Notamacropus eugenii: one gene and its partners. The main gene of each other region encodes a partner of the protein of the gene in region 3 in a complex. Links are inferred from orthologs where the notes say so. Each region holds a gene or a part of one and is shown on either strand. Other genes may lie near its edges. The genes, in order: CASP2, CAMKK2, YWHAG and HDAC4.

Region 1 (6,903 bases), on a different chromosome or scaffold from region 3:
CCCCACTGCAAAGTCTGCCACCTTTGGAACCTCTCACCCCACCCCCAGCATATGAGTTCAGACCTAATTACCAAGATATCAATGATGATGATGTATTCTATGAAGAGGGCTGGATGCCTCCCTAAAGCTGTGTTCCCTGAACATAAAAGATTTCCCCATTAGTGATCTTCTTTACCTGGATATCCTGAGCAGGCATTGGTACCTGGCAAGAGGAAGAGGCCATCAAGGTGCAATTCCTCTCCCAGACATATGATATGACTGGCACCTCTATTTTGTGTCCATGCTTTGTGCCCACAGTGACAGGGTCTAAATGGCTTCCCCATTTTAATCCTGTAATGACGGGGGTGGACTGGTAAAACCACAGAGAAGGGGAAATGGGGGGTTTCTGTGTTGCTCTTGCCATCCTAATTTCACAAGAAGATGGAGGAACTGTATTTAAAAACCCAACTCTTATCACTAGTTGTAACCTTGGACAAGTCACTCAATAACCAAACTTTGAAGTTAAAGAGACTATAGAGGTAAGCTAGTCTGACTTTATCTGAGTAGGAATCCTTTCTCTGACATTCCTGGCAAGAAGTCATTCAACCTCTCCTTGAGGACTTCCAGTGAAGGGGAATCCACCACCTCCTGAAGCAGCCTTTTCCACTTTGGAACAGTTCTTATGGTTTACAAAGTTCTTCCTCCCACTGAGCCAAAAACTGCCTCTCTCAAACTTCCACCTATTGTTTCTTGCTTTGCTTTGTAGCCAATCAGAGTCTAATTCCTCCTCCTTATAACCCAATCACAGACTAGCTTGCCATCATGTTCTCTCTCCCTGAGTCTTTTTTTCCCCAGACTAAACACTATTTATTTCTTCAGTTGATACTCATTTAGAATGTTCTCCCATCTTCTCATCATTGCTATTTATTCTTTGCACCGTTTGTCAAAAGACAGTCGTAAAATCTTGTCCTCAGAACTGAACATAATACTCCGGATGTGAATTAAGCAGGGTGTTCTGACCTCCCTACTTCTATTCATTTAATCTAAGTTTTCATTAACTTTCCTGACTTTTGTGTCACACTGTTGACTCATAGAATTTATTAACTTCTAGGACCTCTACATTTTTTTTATACACAATCCTAACTTCTTCCTTATTTGATTTTTTTGTACTCATGAGTAGAACTCTATATTTAACCCTATTAAATGTCATCTTATTAAATTCAGCTCTAGCCTCAACCTCAAAAGCCTTAGATTCCTCATTCTTAAAATCAGAATAACAGTTGTGTCAACAAATTCAAAATGTTGTCAAGATCAAATAAGGAAACCTATAAAGTGCTTTGTAAAGTGCAACAATTCATGATTTAATTATTTTGCTGTCCTCCCACTCAATCAATCAAATATTTAATAACTGACTACTATGTAGCACTGTACTAGGCACTGATGATACAAGTATCAGGTTCAAAACACTCCCTCCTTACAAGGAGTTTATTAATGAAGAGAGTATATATAAAAATACGTACAGCATAAAGTTAACAAATGTATATATACATAACATACATACACATGTAACATAATATACATGTGTGTAAATACAGATGTATGTATATATAGATATAGCTGTACACACACATACATTAGAAAAATACAAGGTAATTTGGAAAGGAGGGCACTAACAGTTGGGAGTATCAGGAAAGATTTCGTGAAGAAGATGATGCCTGAGATACTTAAAGGAAAAAGAAGAATTATGAGGTATGGGTAAATGGGGAATACATTCCAAGCATGGGGAACAGCCAGTGATAAGGCACAGAGAAGTGAGTGACATGGAGCGTTGTGAGTGAGAAACAGAGAAGCCTGGTTTCACCTCCTCATGAGCACAGAAAGGGGAGTAATATGTTGATATTAAGGAGATGTGTTGCCATTATAGAGATGCTGCAGAGGTAGAAATGGTTAAGATTTGGCAAATGCTTGGATATTTGGGGTAAAAAGATGTTAGGAGTCCAGGATAGTGCTGAGATTATGAACCTGAAATATTGGAAGGATGGTGGTATCTGACAGAAATAGGGAACTCATCTGATGATGAGTATATATCTGAATTTAGGTGAAAGGAAACTGCTAATTGCTACATAGGTATGAACAATTATTATTGTTATTCGTATTATTTCCAGGGAGAGTTCTGTTAAGGTCCTGGCCAGGTAAACTTGGTTCAGGAATTAGAAGATCCATAAGACCTTTACTGTGGGGATCAAGAAGCCAAGCCAAAGCACAGCATTTTGTATCCAAAAGAGCACCTGACTGGGAGTGAGGAAACCTGGATTCTAATCCAGACTCTGGCACCAATTTGATATTAGGCAAGTTAATTGAATGAATGAACAAAGCTTTCATGAAGTATTTACTAGTACAAAGCACTTTGCTCAGTTCTGGGGATACAAATTTTTAGAAAAAGAGAGAGAATCCCTGCTTTCAAGGAATTCACATTCTAATGAGAAAAACAGCATATATGAAAGAGTCTAGCTGCAAATACAAAAGATGGAAAAGTCCCAAGGTCCTCAAGGGTACAGCAGTAGCAAAGCAGATACTTCTTCTCTAATGTCACTATAAAATGTTATCAATTTCTGATGCTGAACCATTTGACAGTGCCAAGGACTTTGAGGACAAAAACTTTCTTTTCTGGATGACTGTAGTACCTGTAGGCCAGGTTGCCTCTCCCTAGATGCTGGACGAGGGTACTGGGTTGGAAGCATTTCTATCCCTAAGTCTCTTGGGTTCAGGGTCCTGGGCTGTCCGACCATCTCTGCCCTGTGTGAGCCCTGGAATTGATTGGCAGGACCCCTCTCTTGCAGATGATGGCTGGCAGGGCTGGGCTGGAAGCAGGCAGGACCAGCGGGCTGGGAGGTGTGGCCAATCTCAGAGCTTCTGTGCCTATCTGATTATGGTTGCTGGTGGTGATGAGGAAGGTGGGCCCTCCCTTCACTAAGATTTTTCAGCGATGGCTGTGAAGGGTGGGTAGAAAGTAGGTCTGATGGTTCGGGGCACACTCCTGGGCTCAGGGTGCCGGGCTGTCTCCCTCTGCTACCCTCTGTCTGTCCTCCTAACGAGTCAAATTGTTTTTCTGTTTCAAGTTACATAACCCTCTTCTAACTCGAGGCGAGTGGGAGGCAGATAAATGTTTAACGACCGACTCTCCAAAATCACAACAAAATTTAAATCTGAACAATTAACAAAACAATAAATCAAGCCCTTATTTGTCATGTTTGCACATTTCTGGGGTTTAAAGGATCACACTGAAAATTAAATAAACGGCTTTCAACACACCCTGGAACTTCATTCTTTCTTTGGTTGCCCTGAGATCGGAAATGAGATAAGGGCCTGCTCGGCCATTAAAACAGCCCAGGGACCCGGTAGCCCAGGAACCTGGATTCAAGGTCAAGGTCTGCTACTTTTGAACCGGCATGACCTTGGGTCAATCAAAGCTGTCTCTGAGCCTCAGTTTCCACCTCGGGAAAGTGAGAGTGGAGGGGGGGGAGTGAGGTTCTAGGAGTTCATTAAGCCTACTTCCGCTGGCTGTTACTTTAAAAAAAAAAAGGGTTGTTTAAAGGAAGGGAGGTGGTGGGTGGGGTCTTAGAATGGGCGGGCAAATACGTCAGTTTCCGCGGGAATCTACGACCAATCCAATCCCGACGTGGGGAGCGAGCACGTCGTCTCCGTCTTTCCCCGCCTCTTCTGCATCTTCTTCCGGGGGGAGGTCGAAAGCTCCGGAGCGGGGAGCTCTGCGCCTGCGCACGCCTCCCCGTGGCGGCTAGAGTGCTGTAGCTAAAGGTTTGGTCCCGGGACTGAGGTGGAAATGGCCGCGCGCAGGCGCGTTCAGCATCGCGAAGGAGGAGGGAGGAGCTAAAGAAAGCGTCGGGGGCGGGAGCGTGGGACCCGAGGGGGCGTTTCATTTGTTTGTGGAGTGGGCGGCTCTCGCCCGGGCTGAGAAAGGCGGGAAATGGCGGAGGCGCGCGCAGGAGCCCGCCCAGGCCTCGGCCGAAGGGGGTCGACGGCTGTGGACGGGGGGCGCAGGTGAGTGGAGCCCGCGTCAGTCCGAGCAGCCCGGGCAGCCCGAGTCGGGCCTGCTTCTCCAGGCCCGGCGGGGAACCCCGAACCTTGGCCGCGGCTCGCTGCCGGAGGGGCCTGACCCCCGACCCCTGACCCCCAACCCAGGGGGCGCCGACCCCTTCCCCACGGGAGGGCCTGATGCCCGCTAAGGGCGGAGAAAGCCCCTCCTGGGAACCAGCTACCACCTTCCCTTTCCCGTAGGCAGGAAACAGGCATTTGTTAAGCGTCTACTAGGTGCGGTGAGCTGTGCAGACGGTCCCATTGATATCCCCGGGAGGAAGGGAGGGACTCTTATTGGCTCCGTTTTACAGATGAGGAAACTGAGTCAGACTTCCATCCGCTCACATCCTTCGGGACAGTTGCAGGTGTTTGAGGCCCGGGGTCCAGCGCCTCGTAGGGTAAGCTCGGGAGGTGGGGGAGTAGTGGGCACCCACCCCTAGCTCGGCCCCTACCTGCCAGCGAGCTCCCAGGCCCGGGCGTGGTGAGGGAACACATCAGCGCTCCCAGCCTCCTTCGGGGAGGGGGCGGGGTCTGAGCCCCCTGAATCCCCCGGTACCGAAGGAAAAATTGAGAGGGACCTGTAAAAGGCAGGGACTCCTAACCTGGCTGTGGGGGGAGGAAGGGGAGGGTGTCATGGATCTCTTAGACCCAGAATAATGCCACAAAATACAGTGTTGCAAAGGAAACCAGTTCTATTGAAATGCAATTATTTAAATATTTTTAAAGGAAAAAAAATAATTCATGCACCAGCCCCCACCTTGCAAGTCATAAACCCCTGGACTGAGGCTTGGATCAGATGGCCTCTGAGTTTCCCGTGCTCTATTACCAACGTAATTGTTTTTTTTTTACATATTTGTTTATACTTAAAAGGGTTCCAGGCCATTCATTTTGCCTGGAAGAGCAAAAGAAAGAAGATATCCCTGAATTAAAATCGAATAATTAGTGTTGCGTTTCTTTATATATCCCAGTCATTTGTTTTAAATTTTTTTATATCTTTTGTTTTTATGTCCACTTCTTTTCTGAATATCAGTTCACTTTTAGTATATCTAAATGGCAGTTGACACTTTCCTGTCCACTGTGCTAAACAATGGAAGGTCAAAACTTTGGATTTAAATACTGGGTCTGTTACTTTTGCCTGGGTGACCAGGAACAGATAATTTCATCTCTCCAGGACTAGATGGCTTTAAAGGCCATTCCACTTCTAAACCTGAGCAAACCATGAATTGCCTAGTTCTTGAGAGATTTAGTGTGTAGCTAAATGGATGGTATAGAAAATAAGTTCCTGCTCCCTCCCTTAGTTCTACAAGCATTATAATTTTGTGATTCTGAGAGTTAAAGGATTACAAAGAAAGGTATAATCACTGTAGGCCAAGTTGGAGTTTTCACTGAGGAGGTTGGCCTCCAGTCAAGAAATGTTGAGTGTACCCACCATGAGTGGAACACACTCTAGTATTTGGTAGTGGTATGAAGACTAATAAGATTTGATTCCTGCCCTTGAGGGATTTATGGCCTAGGACAGGAAAGCTTCCACTGGGGCTTTAAGGAGAATAAAATTAGAGCAATGCAGAGGGGATTCCAAATATGGGACTGTCAGATTAGAGTTTTCATGGTACTTTTTCCTCACCTTTTGGTACCCCTCTTCATATGCTTTTATACCCTCCCACACATTTGTCTTACCAGTTTATCCATATCTCTGAACTAGACCCTTGGCTACATTTGTCAACTTGTTACCAGTTTACTCTCACTTTCTATTAATAAATGGCATTATGTTGTCTTCCCATATAACAGACTTTCATTTTAAGAGTCCTTTTGAGAATAAGTTGGCAGGTCTTTGGTCGAGCTGTTCTGGGGTAGATAAGTTACCTGTTACAGTCTCCTTTTCCCAAATTGATACAGTAGTATTCAGGTGTTAGGAAATTATTATGTTCCCTCAAGATAAATGGTTTAACATTCCAAGTCAGTGTGAGTAATTGTGGAAAACCTACATTTTCAAATGTCTGTCTACTCTAGAACTTCAAGTTACTTTGAGGATGATGATGAATAATGTTCGTTCTGTGCAAAATTTCTTTTGCAGAAGTGACTTGTTTGTGTGATTTTTTTTCCTGAAAATATTGATAATTTTTGAGATGTTAGTATTATTGCCTTCCAAGTAAAATTATCTTTAGTTATCCTGATACCTTACCTGTACACAATTTTTTGCATATTGTCTCTCCCCTCTTAAGCTGTTTGCAGTATCAATGAGACCCATAGAACTGAGACATCTGTTTTTCTATAATATCATGGCCTTATCACTTAGTAACATTGATTTACTACTTCCTGTCACAGTCTTTTCCTGTCACCCTCTTGCCAGATTCTGACAGTTACTGCAATGTCATTTCCCATTGAGATTGAGTTCTTTTTAACCCAGTTAAAGTTTCATCAGCTTAATTAGACCAGAGATACTGTTTTCACTTAAAAACAGTTTTCATCATGAAATTGTGTAGACTGTGTCTAAAGTTGCTGTATTTTCTTACTAGGCTCATTTTAAACAAATCTGTTGCCAATCTCAGTCAATGATGTCCGTTAGATTTAAGATTTTCCTCTCTTTGCAGAATCCTTTGAAGAAACTGATTTCTCTAAACCCTGAGACCTCACCCAGCCATATATACACCTCTATCAAACTGCATTGTATATGCAGACCTTGAAGTGTGTAAGAAGGAGTTGTATTCTGGGGTAACAGATTTCTTTAAAAGGCCATGTCTATATTTTCTTTATAGACATAATAAAAACAGAATAAAATATATACAAAACTGAGGCTTTGTTAGTCCCATCCCTCTGTTATTCCTCCAC
Region 2 (7,650 bases), on a different chromosome or scaffold from region 3:
CTTACATTCTGTTGGGGCGAATATGTACAGGAAAGTCAATAATACAGAGTAATTTGGGGTGGGAGGAAATTATGGACAGGCCTCATGCAGGAGGTGAGACAAGCTGAGATTTGAAGGATATTAGGGATTCCAGTTGACAGGGGAGGGGGAAGATGTGAAAAGAAGATTAAGAATAAATACTATCTGTTTGACCCTGGGCAAGTCACTTAACTTTTCTCAGTCTCAGTTTCCTCATCTGTGAAACAGATATATTAACAGTATGTAGCTCACAGGATTATTATGAGAACCCAATGAAATAACATATGTAAAACACGACAAAAATGTTTGTTTTTGTTGTCATTTTTCAGTCATGTCTGACTCTTCATGACCCCATTTGGGGTTTTCTTGGCAGATACACTACAGTGACCTGCCATTTCCTTTGGCAGCTCATTTTACAGATGAGGAAACTGAGGCAAAGAGGGTGAAGTGACTTGCCCAGGGTCATCAAGCTAGTAAGTGTCTGAGGCTGGATTTGAACTCAGGAAGAGGAGTCTTCCTGACTCCAGGTCCAGTGCTCTAACCACTGTGTCATCTAGCTGCTCTTGTATAAATGCTAGCTATTATCGTTAGCATAATTACTATTAATGCTAAACAGGGATAATGGACAGGAGAGAGTACCACATAAGTACCACTTAAGAGGTCTCACTAAACACAGGTCTAACCATGGTCTATCCCTGCCCAAGAAACTCCAGTGACTCCCTATTTCCTCTAGGACCAAATTCAAACTCCTCCATTTGGCATCTAAAGACCTTCACAGTCTGGCTTGGGCCTCGACTGGAAAGGAAAGAGAGCGAAGGCAGGCAGACTAGTGAGGAGGCCACTGCGCTAGCGTGGTAATGGGAGCCTTAACTAGGATGGTGGCTGTGTGGGCAGAGAAGTCAGAAAGTGACAGCACCACACGCTAATCCAAAGCACTTCCCCCACCACAAGCCCAGAGCTACAAGTTTAATTGCCTTCATTTTACAGATGAGAAGAAAGAAAAAGAGAAACCAGAGCAGCACCAGGAGAAAAAAATGTTTCCTCACTTCCAAAAGGAAGGGCTTGAACCCCTTTCCAGCATTAAATCTCCGTGTCTATGACCCTAAGGTCTCCAGAGCAGGGAACACAGACAAGAGTCACCCAAGAAGGAAAGGAAGGATTTAAATCCACGCCAGAACCATACTCAGGATCTCACAGACCCTTAAAAGTATCCAAAAAGAGATGAAGAAAACTAGCTTAGCATACTTAAGTGACTTAGTATATTTAAGTGACAAGGTGACTGACAGCTAGCAATGGACCTAGGGCTGAAACTCAGGGCCTTTGCCTCCAAGGCCCAGAGCCCACTCTACTCCCCTGCATCACCTTCTCCACCCTCATAAGGCATCTCTAGAACCCTAAGTATTAAAATACTGCACTTGTATGCCTTCCATCTAGAGGGTAAATTCCCTGAGATTGAGGCTCACCTTTAGATCCCTCCCCGCCCACCCCTAAACGGTCTGTAGATCACCTTGATAACTAATAAGTAAGTAAATTTACCTTCCCAAATTAGGCAAAAAGAATGATGGGGCAAGGACTCTGACCCAGTCATTGAGTGCCTTCCCACCTAAGATGAGGAATGTCCAAAGTAAAATAACAGTTCCATGGGAAAAGGGATATTCCACCCCCACCCAGTCCACCCTCTAGGAACATTTCTTTTGTCTACCCAGCTCTCCTCCAGCATCCCTAGAAACAAGTGAGATAGCCAGGAGGGGAAAGTTCGGTATCCAGGAGGTGAATGGCTAAACATTCTGTTTTTCCAAGACCCATCTATCCATTATATATAAAGGAGGGAACCGAGGCTTCAGGGCTGTACCTCTGCCTTCTATTGAGCGTCTGACCTAAAGCGCCCACCTCTCTTGACTTTGGTGGGGGCCTGAGGCTAGGAAAGAGAGACAGAAGCAGGAGGTGTGGCTGGCCGGGAGACAGGTGAGAACCGCGAGGAAGTTGGTGGAACTGTGAAAACACCCAGCTGCTAAGATGAGGACAGAAGGGGGCGGGAGGGGGAGAAACTAGGAAAGGCTTCCAGGGCCCAGGACACCGGGGAGGGAGCCGGGAGGGGCTGACAAAAGATGGACCCGATCCCAAACCTCTGCCCCACTATCAGGACTGGCTCGGGAAGTTGCCTGGCTATCTTAGAGCCTTCAAGAAAAGGTCCTTCTCCCCATGGCAGGGTGGCATCTGAGCTTTTAAAACAAACTGTCAGTGAAGGGGAACATCCTGGCCAGTAGGGCCGGTTCGGAGGTGCCCTCGACTCCAAATGGGGAGAGGCCAGGGCTCAGGACAGAGGGCTCCTGCTTCGCCGTGCCTGTGCCCCTGGGTTCTGGGTGCTGGGTCCCAGCCCCGCTGTTCAGGAAGTGATACCAGCGGGAGGTAGGCAGGCGGGCTGTCCCCTGGCCAGACTCCCGGGCTGCCCAGGACCCGGGACCCCTGCTGGCCAAGCCTGGGTACGCACTGGAGGGAGGGGCTGAGGCCGAGGCGGGGAGGGATGGACCTTGAACGACCAGAGTCGGCGGGGCCACCGGGGGCCTGGCGAACTTAGGGCGGCGGGCACCTCTACCCACCCTGCCTCCCCACCCCCGGCGTCGCGGAGCGCCGCAGCTCCAGCCGGCTGCCCCCTCGGCCGTGACCGTGACCGAGCACGGGGTGGGGGCCCCCACGTGGAGGCGCCCCACCTCGGCCCTCTCGGGCCTCACCCCTTTGTCTGCGCCGGCTCGGGCTCCGAGCATCCCTCCGGGAAGGACAGGGACCACCCCGAGCTGGCTGCCCCCCGCCCCGGCCCCTCCCCGTGCGCTGGGAGCCCTCCCGTCCTCACCCGGCGCTGGGTCCCACGCGCGGCTGGCGGGGCTGTCCGGGGTCCTGCGCCCCGGGGCTGGGGCTGCCGCTGCGGCGGCGGCCGGGCTTCTGGCTGGCGGGGCTGGGGTGGCCGGGCCGGCGCGGGCGGCGGCGCCGATTGGCTGCAACCCGGCCTCTCCGCGCCAGGGAGGGAGGAGGACGAGGAGGAGGAGGTGGAGGAGGAGGAGGAACGAGCCGCCGGGTCCGGGGATTGGCCGCCCGGCGCCCAGCTCAGTGGCCCAGATGTGCGCCGCTGTACGCCGGCTCCCCATTGGCTTCTCGGGGCCCGCGGCCACAGGACGGGGAGGGCCCGGGAGGATGTGAGGGATGGATGGCGGGGACGGACGGTGCCACCCTCCCTCTCCCGCCTGGGCGCCTCTCTCCAGCGATCTGCCACCTGCCCGCTGGCTCGAGGGCATTAGTCTCATTGGGCAAATCCGGGGAAGCCGCTCGCGCCAAGTTCACCCAGCGGACAGAGCCGAGAACCCAGATCCCCAGCCCCCACCACCACCCCGCCCGTAATACCTCTGCTTTTCCTGTCCCGCGGGCCACCTCCCACTTAGAAAGAAGAAAACAGATGCCACACACACACACACACACACACACACACACACACAGATCCCCACCAAATGGGACGCTTGCAAACTGCTTCAGGGAAATGTGGGAGCCACTGCTAGGAAGCAGTGGGGAGGGGGAAATCCGGGGAAACCGAGGCAAAGAGCTCCAGCCTCCGGGATGCTGTTCCTCACTTCTGCCTAGCAGCCAGAACTTAACTGGGCAGGAGTGCCCGGGAGTGGCTAGTAAGTAGGCGAAGTTAGACGCCCATTGGAGGAGAAAGGGAGTTATCCCATACCAAGCATCCCCATCCTTGGGAGCCAGCCCCGAGGCTGGGAAAGCTCCGGGAAGCCCCCCTTTCTCATCCCTAGGTACAAGCCGGCCGAGAAAGACCAGCTCAGGTCACGTGGGGAAGGACTCTGAAAGCTAAACAGAAAGCTTTCTATTTCAGCCTAGAAACAGGAAGTCACCGGTGTTAAGTGGACGAGTCGGGTGGTCAGTCCAAAGGCAGATTACTTTGGCAGCGGCGTGGAAGGAACTGGAGTGGGGAGATGCCTTTTCGGAGGCTGCTGCGGTAGTCTAGGTGTTGAGGCCGTGAACTAAGGTGGTAGCTCCGTGGGTAGAGAGACGCAGTGGGAGGTAAAAGAAAAGGCAAGACCTGGCCTCTGATTGCGTGTGTCAGCACGAAGGTGAATGAGAAGTGGAGCATAATACCTAGGTAAGGAACCTGGCTCGTTGGGAGACTGAGGGTGGCTTCCACAGAAGTAGCAAAGTTTGGTAGAAAGCCTTGGTAGTCACCCCTCAGCCTTCCCACTAGGAATTGTCGTAGCTTAGTCGTGTCTGACTGTCCATGACCCCATTTGAAGTTTTCTTGGCAAAGAGACTAAAGTCACTTGCCTTTGCCTTTTCCCGCTCATTAGACAGATGAGGAAACTGAGGCGAACAGGGTGAAGTGACTTGCCGAGGGTCACACAGCTGGTTCAGTGTCTGATTTGAACTCAGTGTCTGCATTTGAACTCAGGTCTTCCCGACTCCAGGCCTGGTGCCCTACTACCCACTGTACCCACCTACATGTCCCCCCACTGGGGTACAAATACGAAAAAAGAAAGACAATCCCTGCTTTCTCAAGGCGCTTCCTATCTAATGGGGTAAGGCAACAACCTTTTGCCCCACTTATTGGAGGGTAGAGCCATGAACTCCAAAATCTCCAATTAATAAAGAACTCAGCACAAGCACCTCATTTCCCACCTGGTTGCTCTCCTTTAGGACTTCTTTGACCCTCCCTCCAACCTTACTTACCTCTTCTCACTTTTCAGTTTCCTTTAGGATATGATCTTCTCCCATGAGACTGTAAACTCCTTGAAGGCAGAGACTTTTGGGGGGGGGGCTATTTGTAGCCCCAGCCCTTAGCACAATGACTGCCACATTGTAGTTAATTGTAGTTAAACATTAATAAATGTTTATTGACTATTGTTGGCTATTGAGGGGACAGTTTGAGGGAAAAGATGAGTTCTGTGCCTGTCTCACACACACACATGCATACACACACTCAATAAACTCCAGTGGCTAAAAAGTATCAAGGAAAACTGCCCTGATATTCTAAAACTAGAGGGTAAAATAGAAATGGAAAGAATGCACCAGGCACCTCCTGAAAGAGATCCCAAAATGAAAACTCCCGGGAATATTATAGCCAAATTCCAGATCTCCCAGATCAAGGAGAAAAATACTTCAAAGAGTCGAATACCGTGGAGCCACAGTCAGGATAACAACATTTAGCAGCTTCCATATTAAAGGAGTGGATGGCTTGGAATATGATATTCCAGAAGGCAAAGGAGATAGGATTACAACCACAGTAAAACTGAATATAATCCTTGGGGGGGGGGGGGGAATGGATATTTAATGAAATAGAGGACTTTCAAGCATTCCTGATGAAAAGACCAGAGCTGAGTAGAAAATTTGACATTCAAAGAGAAAATGAGAATAAATAAGTAAACATGAAAGAGAAATCATAAGGGACTCAATAAAGTTTAACTCTTTACATTCCTATACAGGAAGATAATATATGTACTTTATCATTATTAGGGTAATTAAAAGGAGTTTACATAGACAGTATAGAAGTGAGTCGATTATGAGCTCCAAAAAAAATGAAGGGATGAGAGAGATGCACTAGGAAAAGGAGGCAGAGAAAGGTAGAATGGGGAAAAATTTCTCACCTGAAAAGGTGCACCAGAAAGAGCTACTACAGTGGAAGAGAAAATGGCAGGCAATGCTTGAACCTCATTGTCATCAGAATTGGTTCAAAGATGGGAAGAGAATGAGATAAAGGGGGACAGGAGATGATAAAAGGGAGAGCAGACTAAGGGAGAAGCAAAATAGACTTCTGATGATAAAAAAGATAAAAAGACAGAAAAGAAGAAACAGAAGAAAATGGGATGGAGGAAATACACAAGTAGTCATCCTAATTGTGAATGTGAATGGGATGAGCGCAACCATAAAATGGAAGATAAAAAATAAAGTAGATAAAAATGGATAAGAAACCATAATCCAACAATATGTTGTTTGCAAGAGACATACTTGAAACAGAAAGACAGAGTTAAAATAATGGGCTAAAGCAGAATCTAATATGCTTCAGCTGAACTAAAAAAAAAAAAAAAGTCAGGGGTTGTAATCCTGACCTCAGACAAAGCAAAAGCAAAAGCATATCTAGTTACAAGGGATAATCAGGGAAACTATGTTTTGCTAAAAGGTACTCTTGACAATGAAGTAATATTAAATTTTTTGCAGTAAGTTTCTCTGATAAAGACCTCATTTCTCAAATATATTATGAATATAGTACTGAGTAAAATTTATAAAAATAAGTATCATTCATGTATAATCTATATCAGGTTACCTACCATCTTGGAGGAGGAGGGAGAGAATTTGGAATTCAAAAAAATTTTTTAAATGTTAAAAATTATTTTTTCATCTAATTAGAGAAAAATGTTTTAAAAAAAAGTGCTGTTCCTGAATTGATAAATGGCCAAAGGATATAAACAGGGAGTTTTCAGAAGAAGAAATCAAAGCTATCTATAGTCATACAAAAAAATGCTCTAAATCAGGGGTGGGAAACCTGCCTTAAGGCCACATGTGGCCTTCTAAATATTTAATTGTAGCTCTTTGACTGAATACAAATTTTACCAAACAAATCCTATTGATTTTTGATCCACTTTAAGGCTCCGAGTTCCCCACCCCTGCTCTAAATCATTACAGATTAGAGAAATGCAAATTAAAACCACTCTGAGGTACAAGTGTTTACTTACACCTATCAGAAATGACAACTGCTGGAGGGAAAGTGGGAAAAACTGGAACACTAATGAACTATTGGTGGACTAGTGAACTGATCCAACCATTCTGGAGAACAACTTGGAACTATGCCCAAAGGGCTATAAAACTGCATACTCTTCGATCCAGCAATATCACTACTAGGTCCGTATCCCAGAGAGATCAAAGAAGTAGGAAAAGGACCCACATGTATAAAAATATTTATAGCAGCTCTTTTTGTGGTGGCAAGGAATTGGAAATTGAGGGGATGCCCACCCATTGGGGAATGGCTGACGAAGATGTGGTGTATGATTGGAATGGAGAACTGTTGTGCTGTGGGAAATGATAAGGGGCAGGGGGAGGTTCAGAAAATACATAGCAAGACTTGTATAAATTGATGCAACTGGAAGTGAGAAGAATTGAGAGCTCATTGTGTACAGTAACAACAAGGTTGCAATAATGATCAATTGTGAAAGACTTGGCTACTCTGAGCAGTACAATGATCCAGGACAATTTGGAAGGATTCATGATGAAAAAATGCTATCCACCTCCAGAGAGAGAACTGATGAACTCTGAGGGTAAACTGAAATATAATTTTCTCACTTCCTTATTTTTCTTGCTTTTTTTAAAATAGAGTTTATATGGAAATATATTTTGAATGGTTTCACATGTATAATTGATATTGTATTGCTTGCCTTCTCTGTGGGTATGGGAAGGGTGGGAGAGGGAGAGAATTGGGAACCCAGAATCTCAAAAGAAAAAAAGTGAAAAATAAATTATCAAAAAATAATAACTGGTCATTTCAGGGCTGGAAGTTTTCAGATGAGTGATGGGGTCCCAAGCCAGATTATGAAGGATTGAGGAGAGTGAGAGAGAGAGCTCTGCAAACCTGAAAGACATTACTAA
Region 3 (7,975 bases):
TGCCAACTTTGGAAGGTAGGTGCTATTTTCATCCTCATGTTACAAATGAGGAAACTGAGGCAAGAGGTTAAGCGACTTACACGGGGAATCATGGCATTTCCTAGTTTCCTTTAGTCCTAGAAGTTCCATGTTTCCCTCCCCCATTCTAAAGTGTGCTGACAAGTTCCCTGTTTGCTAACTGTAAGTTTACATAGCCACCATTTGTGTCTAAGATGGAATTTGAACTCGGGTTCTAGCCCTGGCTCTCTACCCACTGAGCCATCAAGCTGCCACACTCCTCTAAGGAGGTGAGATTTGAACCCTGGTCTTCCTAAGGCCCTTTCGAGGCTGCTGCTGAATCTACTATATACCTTGTGAATACTTTTCATAAAAACACTCCCCTTAATTCAAGTCCAAATCCTGTGATTTGATTAATGAGCTCTACGACTAGGCCAAAGTACAGGTAATAAACTCACCTATTTGTTCAAGAAAGTTCATTTTTAGGAGAACTTTAAGTTTTTGTTTAAAGCTGAATCCAAGTGTAGTGTAAACATACCAAGAAATTCAAATATTAGCTGCTTACCAATTGTTCTTTGTGTTCCACTGTTTGTCATCCTACAGAATGGCTAGATGTGACATTAAAGATAGAAAGATGATCAGCCCCAATGTACATCTGGAGGTCACTGATTAGTATGTCTAAAGGCAAAGTGATATGGTAAAAATATTCCGGACAGTGGAACAACCCTTCATCCTATCACAAATATCATTTTCTCCAGCAGGGTATATACAATAAAATTTTCAGTCCCACTCGGCTCTTGTATTATATCACATTTCTGCATTACCTTGGCCATGGGCCATTCGAACACTCCCTACCACCCGGGCGCATTGCAGCCTCGGTGCCATTATGTGTGACATCACCATGTTGCTAAGGCAATGAGTGCGAGGTCATAAGCTTTCCTGAAAAACTGCAAATGAGGAAGAATTAGAAGATTCGGAAGACAGCAGTCAAGACAAATCCATTTAAGATCAAGGCCTGTTAAAATGCCCAGGCTAATATACTGCAAAAAGAAGAAACTGAGGTTTGAATGAAAGGTTAAAAGCTATCAATGGTACCGATATTATGTTGAAATACAGGCTAGATAGAGCATCTACCCTCAATTGTAATATAATTCTAGCAGGGAGCTCCTACCCTCCTAATACTCTTTTTAAATGTCTAAACATAAAACGTTTCAGCATGGCCTACTTTAATGATCCAGTTCAACTTACATAGGTGTGACTGAAATCATGATAATACATGGGATCTTCCAATTAAGGAGGATTTATCCTATATACTTGGCTTATTCAGTCATCCAGTTTTTAATTGGTGTATTTTTAATACCTTAGTTATATAACTGTATACCTTTGTTATCTATTTGTCAAGGATACCTGAAAAGAGCCTGCCAAATATTAGAACGGAGGCACTCAAGTCATCCATCAGATCCTGCCATTTCCAGGGTTCCTTTGGTCCCGTTCCAACCCTGCCTCCCTCCCTCCCCCGTTCTCGAGCATGCTGACATGTTGCCCCTCTGATAAATGTAAGGTTACTGAAAAAATGCTGCAATAGAGGCAGACATCTGTGCACCAGACAGGCTGCGACATTTCAAGATCAGCATTTCCTTTTCATCAGCAGGAGGGGACACTCCAGCCTTTTCTTTATTAAAAGGAGAAAAAAAGAGCTCAGACCTGTGTCACGAAACAAATAAAAAAACATTTTCCCCCTTTAAAGCAACCCCTCCCTCCCTCCACCCAGTCTAGCCTCTCTGCAATATGACAAATGCAGAATCTTCTGGAATGACTTGATACTGCCTCCCACGATCGCTTTGTTTGCAAGATCAGATCAGAGAGATGATTTTTTTTTAACTTATAAGGATTTCAATAGATGTATGCCTGCATTTAGAAAAGAAACAGCAAATGTCACAAATTGAACCACTAGGCTTGATGCATAACCTTTATTTTAAGGGGAAATACCGCATGTTTCAATTGACAAGTCTGAGAGGGAAAAAAAAACGGAGATACGTTCGAGACAATGAAAAGAAAATGATAAAACGGTAAAATACTCCCCCCCCAGCCCCCATCCCTCCTCCCCGAAGGCAGGAAGAAGGAAGGGGAAGGAGGTGGGGGCATTTTTAAAGAAGAAACTGAGCAAATAAGAGCCACGCACGGCGATCTCGGAAGGACTGGGTTTTTTTTTAACTGACCCAGGGATTTTTCTGCCCCCCACCCCGACTCCCCCTTCCTGAATTCCTCCGGGGTGGGGGGAGGGGAGGGAGGGGTGGGGGGAGCAGAAAGGAGAAAGCAGGCGCAGGCTGGCGAGTGAATGGGAGAGGCGCCGCCCAGACAGACAGAGAAAGAGGAACCTCCAAAGAGCGACCGCATGGACGCGGCGCCCCCCCCAGCCCCACCCCACCTACTCCCAACGCCCCCCACACTGCAGGGAGGGCACAAAGGGTGACCCCCCCCCCATCTGGCAGCCCAGCAGTGTAAAGGATGGGGATGGAGGCCTCACGCCAGCCATCCGCCCTGTCGCGACACGAGGCCGGGGGGGGGGGGGGCCTATCGCGACAAGGCTCTCGGGCCGCCCGGGCACTGTCGCGACAGAGGGAGGGGGCACTCACGTTCTTCATGGCCGCGGCCATATCGTCGTAGCGCTCCGCCTGCTCGGCCAGCCGGGCTTTCTGCACCAGTTGCTCGCGGTCCACCATCTTCGCGGGGCGGCTCGGGCCGGCTCCTGCGGGGCTGCGGGGCTGCGGGCGGCGGCGGGGAAGGCGCGCGCGGCAGAGGCGGCGGCGACGGCTCAAGCCCGGGCGGCAGGCCGACCAATCACGTCCGCGGGACGGCGGCGGCAGAGGCTGCTCGGGCTCCGGCTCCTGCTGCTGCTGCTGCTCCTGCTGCTGCTGCTCCTCCTGCTGCTGCTGCTGCTGAGGCTCGTGCTGCAAAGGAGGAACCCGGCGCGAGGCGGCTGCGGCTGCTGCGCGTGCCGCGGGAGAACAACCCCCTCCGGCCACGCCCACGGTCCTGACGTCAGCTCGAGGCCCCGCCCCACGACCCCCTTCCCCCCTCCGCCTCCTCGGCCCTCTCCTCGTCCTCTCCCGTCACCGCCTCGTCGCGAGGACCCCTGGGACGTGTAGTTCTGTCCACGGGGAGCGAGATCCTCTGATAACGTCTGGGCTGACGAAGGGAAGACTACACTTCCCAGGAGGCTTTGCGCGGAAATCCCTCGGTCTTTGAAGGAGGGGAGAGGCCGAGGAGAGTGGGGCTTTTAGCAGCAGGGCACTTACACAAGGAGGGAGGGACTTGGGGGAGAGAGCCTGAGCCACAGGGGGCGGGGGTGGGGGTGGGAGCGCCACCTTGGGCGCGCCCCTCTCCCCGGGTTGTACTCGCAACCATGGAGGAGTGGGGGAGGGAGGGCGCGGCGTGCCATGCGTCACCCAGACGGAATGCTGATTCACTGCCTCCGGAGGCTCCGCCCTCTCCTTCTCTGCCCAGCCCCGCCCTTCCCCCCTTCCCAGCCCAGCCCGGCCCGGGCCTGCGCACCTCCCTCCCTTCCTCCTCCCAATCCTGTTCTCTAGGGATGTTGACCCTGGTTGAATGGGGGGTGGGGGTGGGCGCTCTTTTCCTTGTCACCCTCCTGCTCAGTAAGCTCCAGTGGCTCCCTACTACCCCTGGGATCAAATCCAATATCTTCTGCTGGCCTGTAAAAACCCCCCACAACCTGGGACCGAACTTCCTTAACTGCCCCCCTCCTCTTGTTCCCCTCCCCCTCCGATCCCCAGGCCCTTCGGGGCTCAGCCCAAGAACCGTCCACCCTCCTGGATCGGTGTCCTCCCACTTAGCTATTATGGTGATCCCCGGGAGAGTGAGTGGAAGGCCCCTGAGGGCAGGCACTGGGATCCCCAGTAGGACCCTGGACAACCCAGACCCCTAGTCCCTTCTCTCCGTCCCCTGCACCTGGAGCCTGGGATGTTCCTCCACCCCATCCCGGTGTCCTGGACTCTCGCGAGTCCTTCCTTCAGCACCCAGCTCATCACCCCCTTCCACCTGCCTCCAGTGAGATTAAATCCAGTTTAACCTGGCTGGGACCAAGTGAGACCAAATGAGATCTTTCTATTATCTATAGAGATACAATCTACAGATGCAGATAGCCTTACATATCTATAGATATGCAATCTGCAGATAGAGATGCCTTCATTGTGTGTTGTTTGCAAGATAGATATATGAAATATCTAACGGCCTTGATAGACATAGGTGTGTATCTAGATAGATACAAGATAGATATATCCAGATATGGACAGATCTCAATAGACATATATCCTAATAAATACGGACCAATATTAGATAGATCGATGGATCGATCTGGCTACCATTTTTACATTGAGCTACTATATAAAGTTCCATACATTTCACCTGGAAACAATATTCTCATGTCCCTCCTAGCCCTTCCAGTTCCAGTAGCTGACCATTACTAAGGAAGATTTTCGGTTTTTCCTATACAGTGTGGCCAGCACACAGTTGCTTGCCTGCTGTCTCCTCCTGTCCCTCCTGGAAAGCCTGAGTTTTTGCCTTTCTTTATATTTATTGTGCTTAGCACAGCGCCTGGTACATAGTAAAATGCTTAATGTATATTTTACCAATTTGTTGCTTGTGGTGCCTAATAAATGCTTGTTGAATTGGATTGAAATGGCCTGAACAGAATAAAATGCTAAGGTCCATCCCTACTCCTCAACAAAGCTGTCCATGAACATTCTAACACTTTCCTCCATTAAGGACATAGTCTGGTTTTGGTTGGGTACACAATGCACAGAGAGTCACAAAGAACTGAGTACAAGTCCTGACTCTAACACAGGCTATGTCACCCTGGGCAAGTCATTTGATTTCTAAGGGCTGCAGACAACTCTCTAAATTTAGAGGTTGCAGAGAAGGTTCTGGCTTTCATTGACAGAGTTTCCTCACTATAGATTTTAATGAAATCAGAAGTCCAGTGCCTGTCTTCTGGAATGAATCAACATTTCTCTCCATCACAGGTCATGGACTCTGGCCTCATGGTCATTTGGAAAGAGTCCTGGACATAGAGTATGGAGATTCCTGCTCTTGATTGATATCTGTCACTGTGTGACCCGGGGTGAATCACTTATGCTTTGGGGGCCTGGCTTTCTCCCACTACAAAATGAAGGTCGCGTCCAGCTGGAACAATCGATAGGATGGTGATCTCATGCCCAGGGAGAGCATCTAGCTAACAACCTGGCTCTCAGTAGGAAGGAAGGAGGGGCCTGGATGACAGGGCCACAGAGGGCTGCTCCTCACTTCTCTCTACCTTGGTATAAATGGGAAGTGAACTGTGATTCATCAACAAAATGAAACTACTTGAGGCAAAAAGGAAACAGGCATGACCAACTGCCCTACATTGCAACTTTCCTAAGAGAACAGTAAAAACTGTGTGCATGACTCTTAAGCCCTCAGTATTCCAATCCTTATGTAGTCCTCCTGGGACTTTATGGGCCTCCTGGGAATTCAAATGAGGGTACACACACACACACACACACACACACACACACACACACACACACACACACACGACCAAACTATCCACAAGACCAAACTATCACACAGTCCTGAAGAGGACCAGGAGGCCTGTTTCTAAGACCTCAGTTCAATGAATAATGTTAACACACGTTTACTAATGTCTACCGTATAGGGCTACAGAAAAAAACCAATTAATCCCTCTCTTTAAGGAGCTTGCATTTCCCTGGAAGAATACATAATAGAGTCATAGATTTAGAGCGGGAAGGGACCTTAGAGGTTATGAAGCCCAACCCCCTAGTTTTCTAGAGGAGGAAAAGTAGATAAGTAAATGCTCTAGGGTTTGGAGTTCCCTGGTCTTTTTTTCAACTCCAAACCCCTTCTGTTCATGTAGATGATTAAGGATAGAGGTCTGGTGAGGAAGGAACATCCAGAAAACAGTTTAGCTGGGTGAAAGGTTTCTCCTACCTCCCCAGCTAGGTCAAGTCTACAAACATTTATGAACCACCTACTGTGGGCCAAGACCTGTGCTAAGTAGTGGGAATATTTTTTTAAAAATTTAAAAAGACAAAAACCAGTCCTGCTCTTAGTTCAAACTTACTGCAATATTAAACATATTCAAAGAAATACACAGAAAATTCCAGGCAGGCCTTTTTAGCCTAAAAAGTATATGCCCTTGTTCTGCCATCTTGTGTTTGCTTATTTCTATCTGGCTGTCCAAAGGTTTCTGGGCCTGGCTACCATGTTTACATTGGGCTACTACTATATAAAGTTCCATACATTTCACCTGGAAACAATATTCTCATGTCCCTCCTAGTCCTTCCAGTTCCAGTAGCTGACCATTACTAAGGCAGGTTTCCGGTTTTTCCTATCCAGTGTGGCTAGCACACACACATTTCCTGAGGAGGAAGAGGAAGAAGTCCCGCCTGATTATAAGCTGTTTGAGGACAGGGACTTTGTCTCATTCATCTTTTTTTTTCTTTTCAGGGCTAGAAATAGAATGTGGCACCCTGACTCAAGAAGCTTCAGGGCATCCCCATTGTGTTTAAGATGAAATTAAAATTCCTTCTTTGTCACTCTAGCCTGATGATAGCTTGGGTCCAACCTATCTTTCTAGGCTGATTATGTTTTAGTCACTTTCAGTTGAGAAAATTCTTCATGAAGCCGTTTGGGGTTTTCTTGGCAAAGATACTGGAGTGGTTTGCCGTTTCCTTCTCCAGTTCATTTGACAGGTGAGGAAACTGAGACAAACAGGGTGAAGTGACTTGCCCAGGGTCACTCAGCTAATAAGTATCTGAGGTCAAATTTGAACTCAGGTCTTCCTGACTCCAGACCTGGTGCTCTCTCCACTGAACCACTTAGAGACCCTTGATCCCACTTTATTCCCCCTCATGGGTTACATTTTAGCCAAACCAGACAACTTGCTGTTCTCTGTTCACAGCATCCCATCTTCTGCCTTCAGAGTTCATGTAACAGGGATTTCACAGAATATTCAGGGATTCCTGGACTGTTTATGGCCAATCACATGGGGCCAGAAGCAACTAGGTGATAAAGTAATTAGGGACGTGCAGTCAAGAAGACTAGAATTCAAATCCTTCCTCAGACACTTACTGGTTGTGTGACCCTGGGCAAATCACTTAACCTTATTCCTCACTTTCCTTGTCTGTGAGATGATGATGATGATGGTGGTGGTGGTGGTGGTGGTGATAAGACCACCTTACAGGGTTGTTTTGAGGATCAAATGATTTAACATATTAAAGCACTTTGCAGATCCTTAAAATGCCATATAAATACCAGCCGTTATTATTATTGATATGATTATGTATGTGTGACTCAGCAGTGAAAGAATTTGGCACTTTAACATCTCATATCAAATCTTCAGAGGTCCCTTGGTCCTTCCCCTACCTTTGACAACAGAATGGGCATGGATGGTTGTGTCAATTAAAAACTAACTCCCATATGGCAAATAGGTCTGTAGCTAGGTTTCCTGTAAGGAGGTAGGAGGATAGGAGGTCTCTTCCTCCACCCCCAAACCTTTGACCATTCCCACATTGGAGCATGGTACCAAATAGAAAAGCTTCTACCTGAACCTCTGACTGCCTTTCCTGCTTTGGATTTCCTTTCTTAAGTACATGATCAAACATTATTCTCTCTCTCTCTCTCTCTCTCTCTCTCTCTCTCTCTCTCTCTCTCTCTCCCTCTCTGTAAATTTTTAAAAATTTTAAACGTAAATACAAAATAAAAACAGAAAAAAAAACATTGCCATGTACACAGCAGACCATGAAAGAGGTGTCAATATAAAACAATAAATTTATATTTCAAGAAAACCTATATAATAAATACTACATTTTGTTTTCAAAGCTGCCCAGTTTTTCTTTGCCTTCTTGTTGGTTTTCTTTGTTCTCTACTGTGCACTTTTTACTTTATTCTCTTCCCCTCC
Region 4 (7,938 bases), about 16 Mb from region 3:
TCCAACCTTTCAAAGGCCTCCAGGTCTTTCTTTTTCCAACCCTCCTTCATTTAAAATCAGAAAAGAGTCGGGCAAGAAGAGCCAAGACAGAGGTCCACAACGGTGAGAGACTTCCTGCTCCCAGCTGGCAGCATCTCATTCCCTGGAGAACTCACCAGATCCTGCTTCTCTGTGGGAGTCTTTTTCTATGCTCTCTCTTTTCTGGTACAATGGCCGGTTAATAGCAATGACCATCAGCACCATCACAATAGCCAACATTTATTAAGCACCTACTGTGTGCCAGGCACTGAGCTCAGCACTGGTGACATAAGAAAAGGCAAGCACAGTTCCAGCCCCCCAGGGACTCACTGTGTAATGAGGAGACTGGGAGTAGGCCACCTGGTACCTATGAGACATCTCAGCTAGGAAGGCTTAGGGGAAGGGGGTGGGGCAAGAGAAAGTGTGGGACTCTAAGACATTTGTCAGCTTGTCAATAAACAATGATTAAGCACTTACCAAGTACCCACCACTTGGTAAGCCCTGGGGATATAGTCACTGGACAGTCCCTGCCCACCAGGAGTTCACAGTGGAATGGAGGAGGCCACAGGCAACAAATGCCCACAAAACAGGATTATTAGGAAGTACCTGCCAGAGGGAAAGTGCTGGAATTTGGGAGAAAGCTGGGGCTAATATTTGTAAAGGGCTATGTCAATGCTACTCCTTATCTAGCCTGAAGAAGAGAGGCCCTGGGAAAGTATTTAAAAAGCTAGAGTGTGGACGAGATTTTAGGACACCACTGCAGGATCACTGACTGAAAGCTGGCAGGGTCCAATTTAGGAGAACTTGATTAAGGGCCTACATCACACAGGGAGTAAATCGGGAATCTGGGGCTCCACTCTCAAGGTTGGGACTCTGACCTTGACAGCCTAGGCCCACTCTTTTGCATAGCAGAGGCCAGAGCTAGCTCAGCAGGAGAGGTAAAGACCCTTCCCAACAAGGAAATCTGGTGGGAGCTGGGGGGAGTCAGTGTCTGAAGGGAGGCCTCCTGTCGCTGGGAACTTTCTAGTTGAGGCTGGATGCCACTTGTTGGGCGTGTAGGAGAATGGTTTTCTGTTAAGGTCTGGGTTGGATTGGACAGATTCTGTCTAGAGTGTTCCCCTACCCTTATGCTGACTCAATTTTACTGCTGAAGACCTAGAAAGGAAGATTTGTGACCTAGGTTGTGTCTTGTTTCTGAATATTCAAGTCTCTTCAAAGTAGAGGATGCCCCTGGCTGACTTACTCTTCCTCTAATGCCTGGACTCAGGGAGGGCAGCCTTTCCAGCACAGAGAGGACACACAGAGAGGCTGACCATGACAATCCAGAGAGGAGCAAGAGGCCCCCCAAAGCTGAGAAGCAAAGTCCCTATATTTCACCTCATTTCAACGTTCTCAATAACTGATGACGCCATAAGTTCACAGCTCCAGGACTGGGCAACACCTGGGAGGACATTGAGTCCTAGGAAACTGAGGTTCAGAGAAGTGAGGTCACCTGCCCAGGGTCACCATCAAGGAAGCCTTAAGTGCACAATTTGAATCCAAGATCTTAACACAGAATACCACTCTGCCTCTCGAATGTGGGACAAGCTGACTGTACACAAGTAGACTTCAGGCCTTGTTAATTAAAAAAGCCATGTTAATTCTGAAGGGCCTCCAACCTTGGATGGGCCTAGCCTTCTCGACAATTCTGTGAATCATCCTGCATAGAGCAGGTTTGTGGATGACACAAATCTGAGTTCCTGATACACTGAGCTCAGTGGGGTATGCTGTGGGCTTCTGAGCACCTGAAAGGTTGGGTCATGGAGGAGGAATTCATGTGATTTTGCTTGGCCACAGAGGGTTGATGTGCCCCAGTCTCAGGAAGGCCTTCTGAGGGCGAAGGACTCCACAAAGAAGCCAAGTCATGGCTTGGCCTAGGTGTATGTCTTCTTGGTCTGTCAACCAGGAATTATTCCTTCAGGGCTTGGAGGAGGGACTTGTTAGATCTGGAGGGTCCCATCAAACCCTAATTTAATGACTGAGCAAGAATAGTAAAGCCAGACTCAAACAAAGCCCTATTAGATGGTGAGCTCCTTGAGGACAGGGACTGTTTTGGGGGCCTTTCTTTGTAATCCCAGAATTTACAGTACAGTGCCTAACAACTGTGGGTACTTAAACAATGCTTGTTGATGACTACAAGCCTACCTATGAGGATTCATTTCAGAGTGCAGAGGCGGTATCTAGCAGCAGCAGAGACCTTTCCTTAAGCAATGGAGGAAGGGAGGGTGACTGATCCTCAGGAGCAGCCCAAACCTCTAGAGTGGAGGGATGGAGACCTTGGCTGTCTGAAGCACAGTGATGCTCTCAAGTGGCAGGCTGGCAGGGTGGAATTTCATTGTCATCACTATCCCTGGTGATCCCCTCACTTCTTATCCATTCATTCTAACTCCATGTTTTATATCTGAAGTCTCAAGTGTTGCCCCTTGAATGTGAGATGCCTTAGAAGGTCCCCGGGAGCTTGGGAGAGGGACTGATGTTGGGAGACATGGAAGCCTGGGAGTTATCTGTATTGAGCAGATCACGGAACCCTTGGGAGCTGAAAAGTCACCAAGAGACAGAGGGGAGTATTGAGAGAAAGGGGCCCAGGAACAATTCTCGGAGTACCCATCCACTCTGCTTCCCAGAAAAGATTCAGAGATTACAATCCACAGTGGCACTCTCAGCTGGGCTGGGAGTGTGGACTCAAGCCTGACCTGGAGGAGACTACCAGAATGTCACAGAAGGCAATTAAAATATTCATGAACCCAGGGCAAAAGTGTGTCTCTGTCCTCATCTCACTCTGGAAAGAATGCTGGATTTGAAGTGAACGCTAATTTTCTGTGTGACCCTGGATAATTCACTTCCTGGCTTGGTGCCTCAGTTTCCAAATATGTAGAATGGAGACAACAGCAGGTGCAGGCAGGGTATCAGTAAGATAGGCATTTGACCAAACTACACCAATTTAAACTGTTGTTGTCATAGAGAGTATCTGACTGGAGAATCCATTATGAAGAAACTGGTGGAAACTCCCTGCAGGCAGGGCTTATCCTTTTCATCTGGGTATCCAAGGGGCTTTGCCGTGTATGGCACAGAGGAGCTATGTAGTCCAGGCTTCTGGCTTCCTCCAGCATTCCTCAGAAGCTCAGAATTCAGCAGAATTTGGAAGAGGCCTTCAAGACCCCCTCCCCCCAATCTTCAGGACAAATGGTCACCAGTCTAATATTCCAGGTCTCCAGGGAGGGGGCCCATGGCACCAAAGCCCTCTCAGGCATCGAGTTTCCCCAGATCTCATGGGCCCAAGGCCTCAGTTGGTCTCAATTCTGCTTTCAGGAGCTGGGCCGGACAGGCCTCATCCCTGTCCTGCTGGATGGTCGGAGGGCAAGAGGACAACTGCCTCCCCAGCGGCCAAGGCTGCAACTCTTAATCCAGTTCAAGTTGCAGGTTGCTTTTTGGCCGAATTTCCCCAGGCATCTCTGGTTGTGGAGTCAAAGACCTTGGTTCCTCTGCTTCAGCCCACAAGATCTCAGTTCCTCTTTCCAGGCCATACATCTCCAGCCTCCAAGCCTTTCCTCAGGCTGAGACCTCTGCCTGGAGTGCCCTCCCTTCAAGCCTCACCTTTTCTTGGAAACCCTTCCTAACCCTCCCCGTGGGTATCTAATTTGCATACAGGTGACTGAAGCTTCTGCCTATTGGAGGGGGGGATCCTGGGGGCAGGGCTGGCCTTGGTCTCTCTTTGCATCTGCACTGAGCACACAGTAGGTGCTTAATAAATTTTGGAGCCTGAGCGGTGCTTTTGATGGGCTGCACTGTGTGACCTTGGATAAGTCCCTTTCCTCCTCCGGGGGCCTGCCATGCCCCACCTGGACGTTATCGGAGGTCCTTCAAAGCCTCTGCAGCTGGGGGGAGCCTCGGTTTCCTTCCGTGTAAATCGGGGCGCCGGCCTAGGGGGGCTCGAAAATCCCCCAGGCGCAGGGTCACGCACAGGGTCACGCAGGGGCGTGCCCAGTCCGACCCCGAGACTTCTAGGATTCTCGGACCTGGCGCCGCTGTGTGACCTCGGGCAAGTCCAGCACCCTCTCTGGGCCGGGGCAGGAGCAGCTGAGCGAGGAGGAGAGGCTGGGCGAGACCCCAGAAGGGGGCGCTCCTGCGTCCCAGGGCCGGGCCGCGCTTGCGCACTGGGCAGCGCCCGTCCACTAGCCCGCCCGACTTCCCCCTTACCCACTCACCCTCCCTCCCCGCCCCGTGCAAACGCAAGGGGGGGGGGGGGGGCCGCGCGCATGGCCGAGCCACGTGACCCGCAGGCTCTGCCCCAAGATGGCGGCCGCGGCCGGTTTAACGGTTCCCCGAGCTCGAGCTCCTGGTCCGTTGGGCCCCTTCGCCCCGCCCTCCTGCGCCCGCTCCGGGTGTGGGTCCAGTCTCTAGGCCAGTCCGACGTGCCCTGTCCCGCTTTTCCTGCGCGCGCGCGCCCCCTCACCCTGGCTCCGCGGGTCGGCTCTAAGAGGCGGGGCCGGCGCGCAGCGCTATTGACGGGCAGCCGCCGTAGCCAATCGGCTCCCGAACGTGCCTCTCCGGGGCGGGGTTAACCGGCGCTCCGTTTTCGCGTCGGGTCCTTCGGCTTTCGGGAGAGGGGCGGGAGCGACCTGGGTGGTGCCCCCCTTCCTCGAGCCGACCAATGGGAGGGAGGAGAGGTGCCCTTGGAGGGGCGGGGCCGAACCGTAATTGACGAGCGCTTCCTTAGGAGTCCGGGAGGAGGGAGGGCGGCGAGGGGGTGGTGACGCAAGCCCAGGTACACCAATAGGTGGCGGGCTGCGGGCGGCGGGGGCGGAGCCGTGGCCACTGATGGACAGCGCGGGCGGCCTATGGACGAGCGGCGTGGTGGGGGGGGCCTGAGCCTCCTGGTTCAACGTGGGTCAATTTTTTGTGAATGAGGAGGGAGGTTGTGGGGCCGCCGTCGCCGCCGTGGTGGGGAGCGAGCCAGTGCCCGAGAGCCCCAGCCCCGCCACCGCTGCCGCCTCCGCAGCCCGGCCCGGCCCGCTCCGAGCCCGGAGCCGCCGCCGCCGCCGCCGCTCCGAGCGCCGCCCCGGGCCCGGCCCGCCCGGGGAGATGCGGCCCCAGAGGGAGGCGATGCCCGAGCCGCGGCCGCCGCCCCGGAGCCCGCCCCGGTAAGTGCAGGGCAGCCGCCCGGGCCATTGTCCGCCTCCGCCCGGTGCCCACGCCGACCCGGGCCCCGCGCTGCCGTCCCTCCCTCGAGACAGACAGACAGACAGACAGGCAGACGGACTGACGGAGCCCGGCCCGGGACACAGACCTCCCCCTCCCCCAGCCCCCGGTTCTCTGCCCCCCTCCCCCAGGCGCGGGTCCCCACTTGTCATCCCCCTGCCCCCTCCCCCAGCACCGTGCCTGTCATCTCCGCCCCCCAGCTGCGTCTCCCCCCGGGCTTCCAGCGGGGCTCGGCCAGCTCCCCCAGCCCCTGCCTCCCCGCCCGGCCCGGCTCGTTCCAGGGCGCCGCTGCTGCGCCAGCAGGTTGGAGAGCATCCTGCTGGGGGGGGGAGAAGGGGGAGGCGGCCCCAGACCCCCACCCAGCCCCCCCGCCGCGCTTCGAGCAGAACGGCCGATCTCCTGGGGAACCCCCTCCCCGATGGGGATCGGTGACCCCAGCGCTGGTGTGGGATTTGGGGACCCCCCCAGTCCAGCGCCAGCCCACCCCTCTCGTAACGTCTGGAGTCTGGGGGCTGCGGGGCTGCTGAGTCCCAGCCTGAAGCCCTGGGCAGATTGAGGACAGAGATAGGTGCCTGGCTGCCTGGCGTGGGCTCCCCGAACCGGTTTGGTTTGGCGTGTGTGTGTGTGTGTGTGTGTGTGTGTGTGTGTGTGTGTGTTGGGCGTGGGGTGGGGGGGGCGTGGGGGGGGCGCTGAGCAAGGAGCTTGCGAATGGGGAGGCCTCGCCACTCGCGCCCAGCCCCAGACTGCAGAGGAGTGAGCGCCTGGCTGGAGCAGGACTGACCCATCCTCCAGGGGAGGGCTGAGCAGCGGGGACCCCACGGGCTTGGATGCGTCTCGGGTGTGTGTGGGGGGCAATGGGGAGGGGAGCTAAGCCCACAGTAAGAAACTGCAGTTCTGAGGCTTCATTTTGTCAGAATGGAAAAAAGGAGCGACCGCTGGCTGAAGTCGCTGCAGCGGAATCCATCCCTGTGCCAGGGCCGGGATCCGCTGTAGGGGGCCTGGAGATCATGCAGCTGGACCTCTCCTTGCCCGGGAAACTGAGGGCTGGGGCTTGAAGCAGCTCAGATCCCTCCCAGCCAGGAAGGAGGGTTGGGCTGCCTAGCAGGCCTGGGTGGCTTTCATTCGGAATGGTTTTCTCAGCCTAGGGATGTTGCTGGGTTATATTATCAGAACTCCTCTGGCATTGCAAAAACACAACATGAAATGAGAGGCAACTTATCTTTTATTTCCTCTGTACGCAGACTGATTGGCCACTGGAATAGCTGGAGACCTTCTGTGTGCCCCAGAAGGGCCTGTCTCGGAAGGAAGGCCCATCAACAATTTCTAATAACTTCTCTCTCTGATTAGGAAGGTTCCTTTTATTGGGTGGCTGGAAATTGACCTGCTGTGACACAATTTTCAAATAAAGCTTTGTAGAAATTAAACTTAAGTTATTTTAAACTAATGACTTTCTTAACTAAATCTTAATTGCATGACTACAGAGACCAGCCTAATTGCCTAATGAAAAAAATGCCTGCTGGTTCTAGGTAGGGAGTGTGTCTCTGTCAGCATCACCGTTACCGGTGGTGGTGATGGCTGGGCTGGAGGCTCAATCTCCTCTGCTTGCCCCTCCGATGGCCTTTCTGGTCCTACCACAAGTCCCCCGAAAGCATCTGAAAGCCTAGTGCCTTTAAAGAAAACAGGCTGGGCAGAAGTAAACAAACAAACCGACCAGACTGCCAGCCAGCCCTGCCTGTCAGCCTAGCCTCCCCCACCCCCTTTTGTAATAGGATCGGGCCCAGGCGGTTGCCTGGAGTTTTAATTGTTTCTGATAATTCCCTGCCTTATTTTAGGGGCTTTAGATTCAAAGCCGCTGTTGTGGTTTCTGAGCCTCAAACTTAATGGGGGTGTGTGTGGGGGGGTGGGATGGAATGAAGAAAACTCAGCTGCATGTGTGCAAATAGTCACCGCGGCAATTACGAGGCAACAAAAGTTATGGCAGCATTTTGCGGTAGCTATGGCAACACGTTTACGCGATTATAATTGGAAATGCAAAATGCCACCCAGTCAGAACTTTTGGCAGTTGTAGATTTGGGGGTAGGCTAAAGCTGGAAGTAGGCCTTTCTCTCTCTTCTCCTCCCAGGCGCCAGAGGGGCCCCCCAAAAAGAACATCAAGGTCTCTATCCTTTTCTCTTTATTAGACTTTCTGAAAGTTCTGTGATACATCATATGCATAACATCCCTCTAAATTGGTGGCACCGGAGAGCTCAAATATGTGTGGGAGGGAAGGAAGTATTTTCATGCCTTCGATTTTTTTCTTTTTAAAGACTTGGATCTCTGTTCTAGGCTTTTGTTTTAAAGATCAGATCCTTTCCCCAAAGTGAGCATCCACGAACCAGGACACTTGGGGTGGGGGTGAGGGTGTCTGGCTTCTTCTGCCAGCTCTGCCCTTGTTACCTTGCTTGGGGTCTCCCCGCCACTACCACTTGCTGGCCTTACTTCACCCCCTCTGTCAAGTTAAGGGTGTGTGCTGAGTGCCCTCCAAAGGCTGGGAGGAGAGATCCCAGCAGGATCTCTGGCTATAAGCTTGGCCTAGCAGGCCATTACCCTCTTTCTGATTCATCCTCCTTCTCTAGCTAGGTGAAAACCTATTGAGGCAGATGAGGGGGTGCTCTGGTGGAGGGTGGAAGGCCCAGGCTGGGA

The links.
Region 1: the proteins of YWHAG (region 3) and CASP2 are in contact, whole or in part, in a crystal structure (PDB 6S9K), measured with the Homo sapiens proteins. The link is inferred for Notamacropus eugenii from reciprocal best matches to the Homo sapiens genes YWHAG and CASP2. Residues at the interface, in NP_036611.2 of Homo sapiens: Glu15, Asn43, Val47, Arg57, Arg61, Lys125, Arg132, Tyr133, Pro170, Gly174, Leu177, Asn178, Val181, Glu185, Glu213, Asp214, Lys217, Asp218, Leu221, Ile222, Leu225, Asn229, Leu232, Trp233; in NP_116764.2 of Homo sapiens: Asp137, Leu138, Ser139, Leu140, Pro141, Phe142, Pro143, Val144, Cys145, Glu146, Leu150, Lys152, Lys153, Leu154, Ser157.
Region 2: the proteins of YWHAG (region 3) and CAMKK2 are in contact, whole or in part, in a crystal structure (PDB 6Y6B), measured with the Homo sapiens proteins. The link is inferred for Notamacropus eugenii from reciprocal best matches to the Homo sapiens genes YWHAG and CAMKK2. Residues at the interface, in NP_036611.2 of Homo sapiens: Ser46, Val47, Lys50, Asn51, Arg57, Arg132, Tyr133, Gly174, Leu177, Asn178, Val181, Glu185, Ile222, Leu225, Asn229, Trp233; in NP_001257414.1 of Homo sapiens: Leu99, Ser100, Leu101, Gln102, Glu103, Arg104.
Region 4: the proteins of YWHAG (region 3) and HDAC4 are in contact, whole or in part, in a crystal structure (PDB 3UZD), measured with the Homo sapiens proteins. The link is inferred for Notamacropus eugenii from reciprocal best matches to the Homo sapiens genes YWHAG and HDAC4. Residues at the interface, in NP_036611.2 of Homo sapiens: Asn43, Leu44, Ser46, Val47, Lys50, Asn51, Arg57, Phe122, Lys125, Arg132, Tyr133, Gly174, Leu177, Asn178, Val181, Glu185, Leu221, Ile222, Leu225, Asn229, Trp233; in NP_001365345.1 of Homo sapiens: Ser348, Pro349, Ser350, Leu351, Pro352, Asn353, Ile354, Leu356.

Annotation. Positions count from the first base shown.
Region 1 is NC_092874.1:105,043,438-105,050,340, reverse strand, and holds the start of CASP2 (caspase-2), read left to right. Parts: upstream 1-3,900; 5' UTR 3,901-3,964; coding exon 3,965-4,038; intron 4,039-4,052; exon of another isoform or gene 4,053-4,385; coding exon of another isoform or gene 4,386-4,472; intron 4,473-4,800; exon of another isoform or gene 4,801-4,904; intron 4,905-6,903. Other genes in the region: TMEM139 (transmembrane protein 139), read left to right, coding at 1-125. UniProt on the Homo sapiens protein: Is a regulator of the cascade of caspases responsible for apoptosis execution. Might function by either activating some proteins required for cell death or inactivating proteins necessary for cell survival.
Region 2 is NC_092875.1:36,536,014-36,543,663, forward strand, and holds the start of CAMKK2 (calcium/calmodulin-dependent protein kinase kinase 2), read right to left. Parts: upstream 3,014-7,650; 5' UTR 2,870-3,013; intron 1-2,869. UniProt on the Homo sapiens protein: Calcium/calmodulin-dependent protein kinase belonging to a proposed calcium-triggered signaling cascade involved in a number of cellular processes. Isoform 1, isoform 2 and isoform 3 phosphorylate CAMK1 and CAMK4. Isoform 3 phosphorylates CAMK1D.
Region 3 is NC_092873.1:51,333,324-51,341,298, forward strand, and holds the start of YWHAG (14-3-3 protein gamma), read right to left. Parts: upstream 3,009-7,975; 5' UTR 2,721-3,008; coding exon 2,634-2,720; intron 1-2,633. UniProt on the Homo sapiens protein: Adapter protein implicated in the regulation of a large spectrum of both general and specialized signaling pathways. Binds to a large number of partners, usually by recognition of a phosphoserine or phosphothreonine motif.
Region 4 is NC_092873.1:67,091,872-67,099,809, reverse strand, and holds the start of HDAC4 (histone deacetylase 4), read left to right. Parts: upstream 1-4,923; 5' UTR 4,924-5,198; intron 5,199-7,938. UniProt on the Homo sapiens protein: Responsible for the deacetylation of lysine residues on the N-terminal part of the core histones (H2A, H2B, H3 and H4).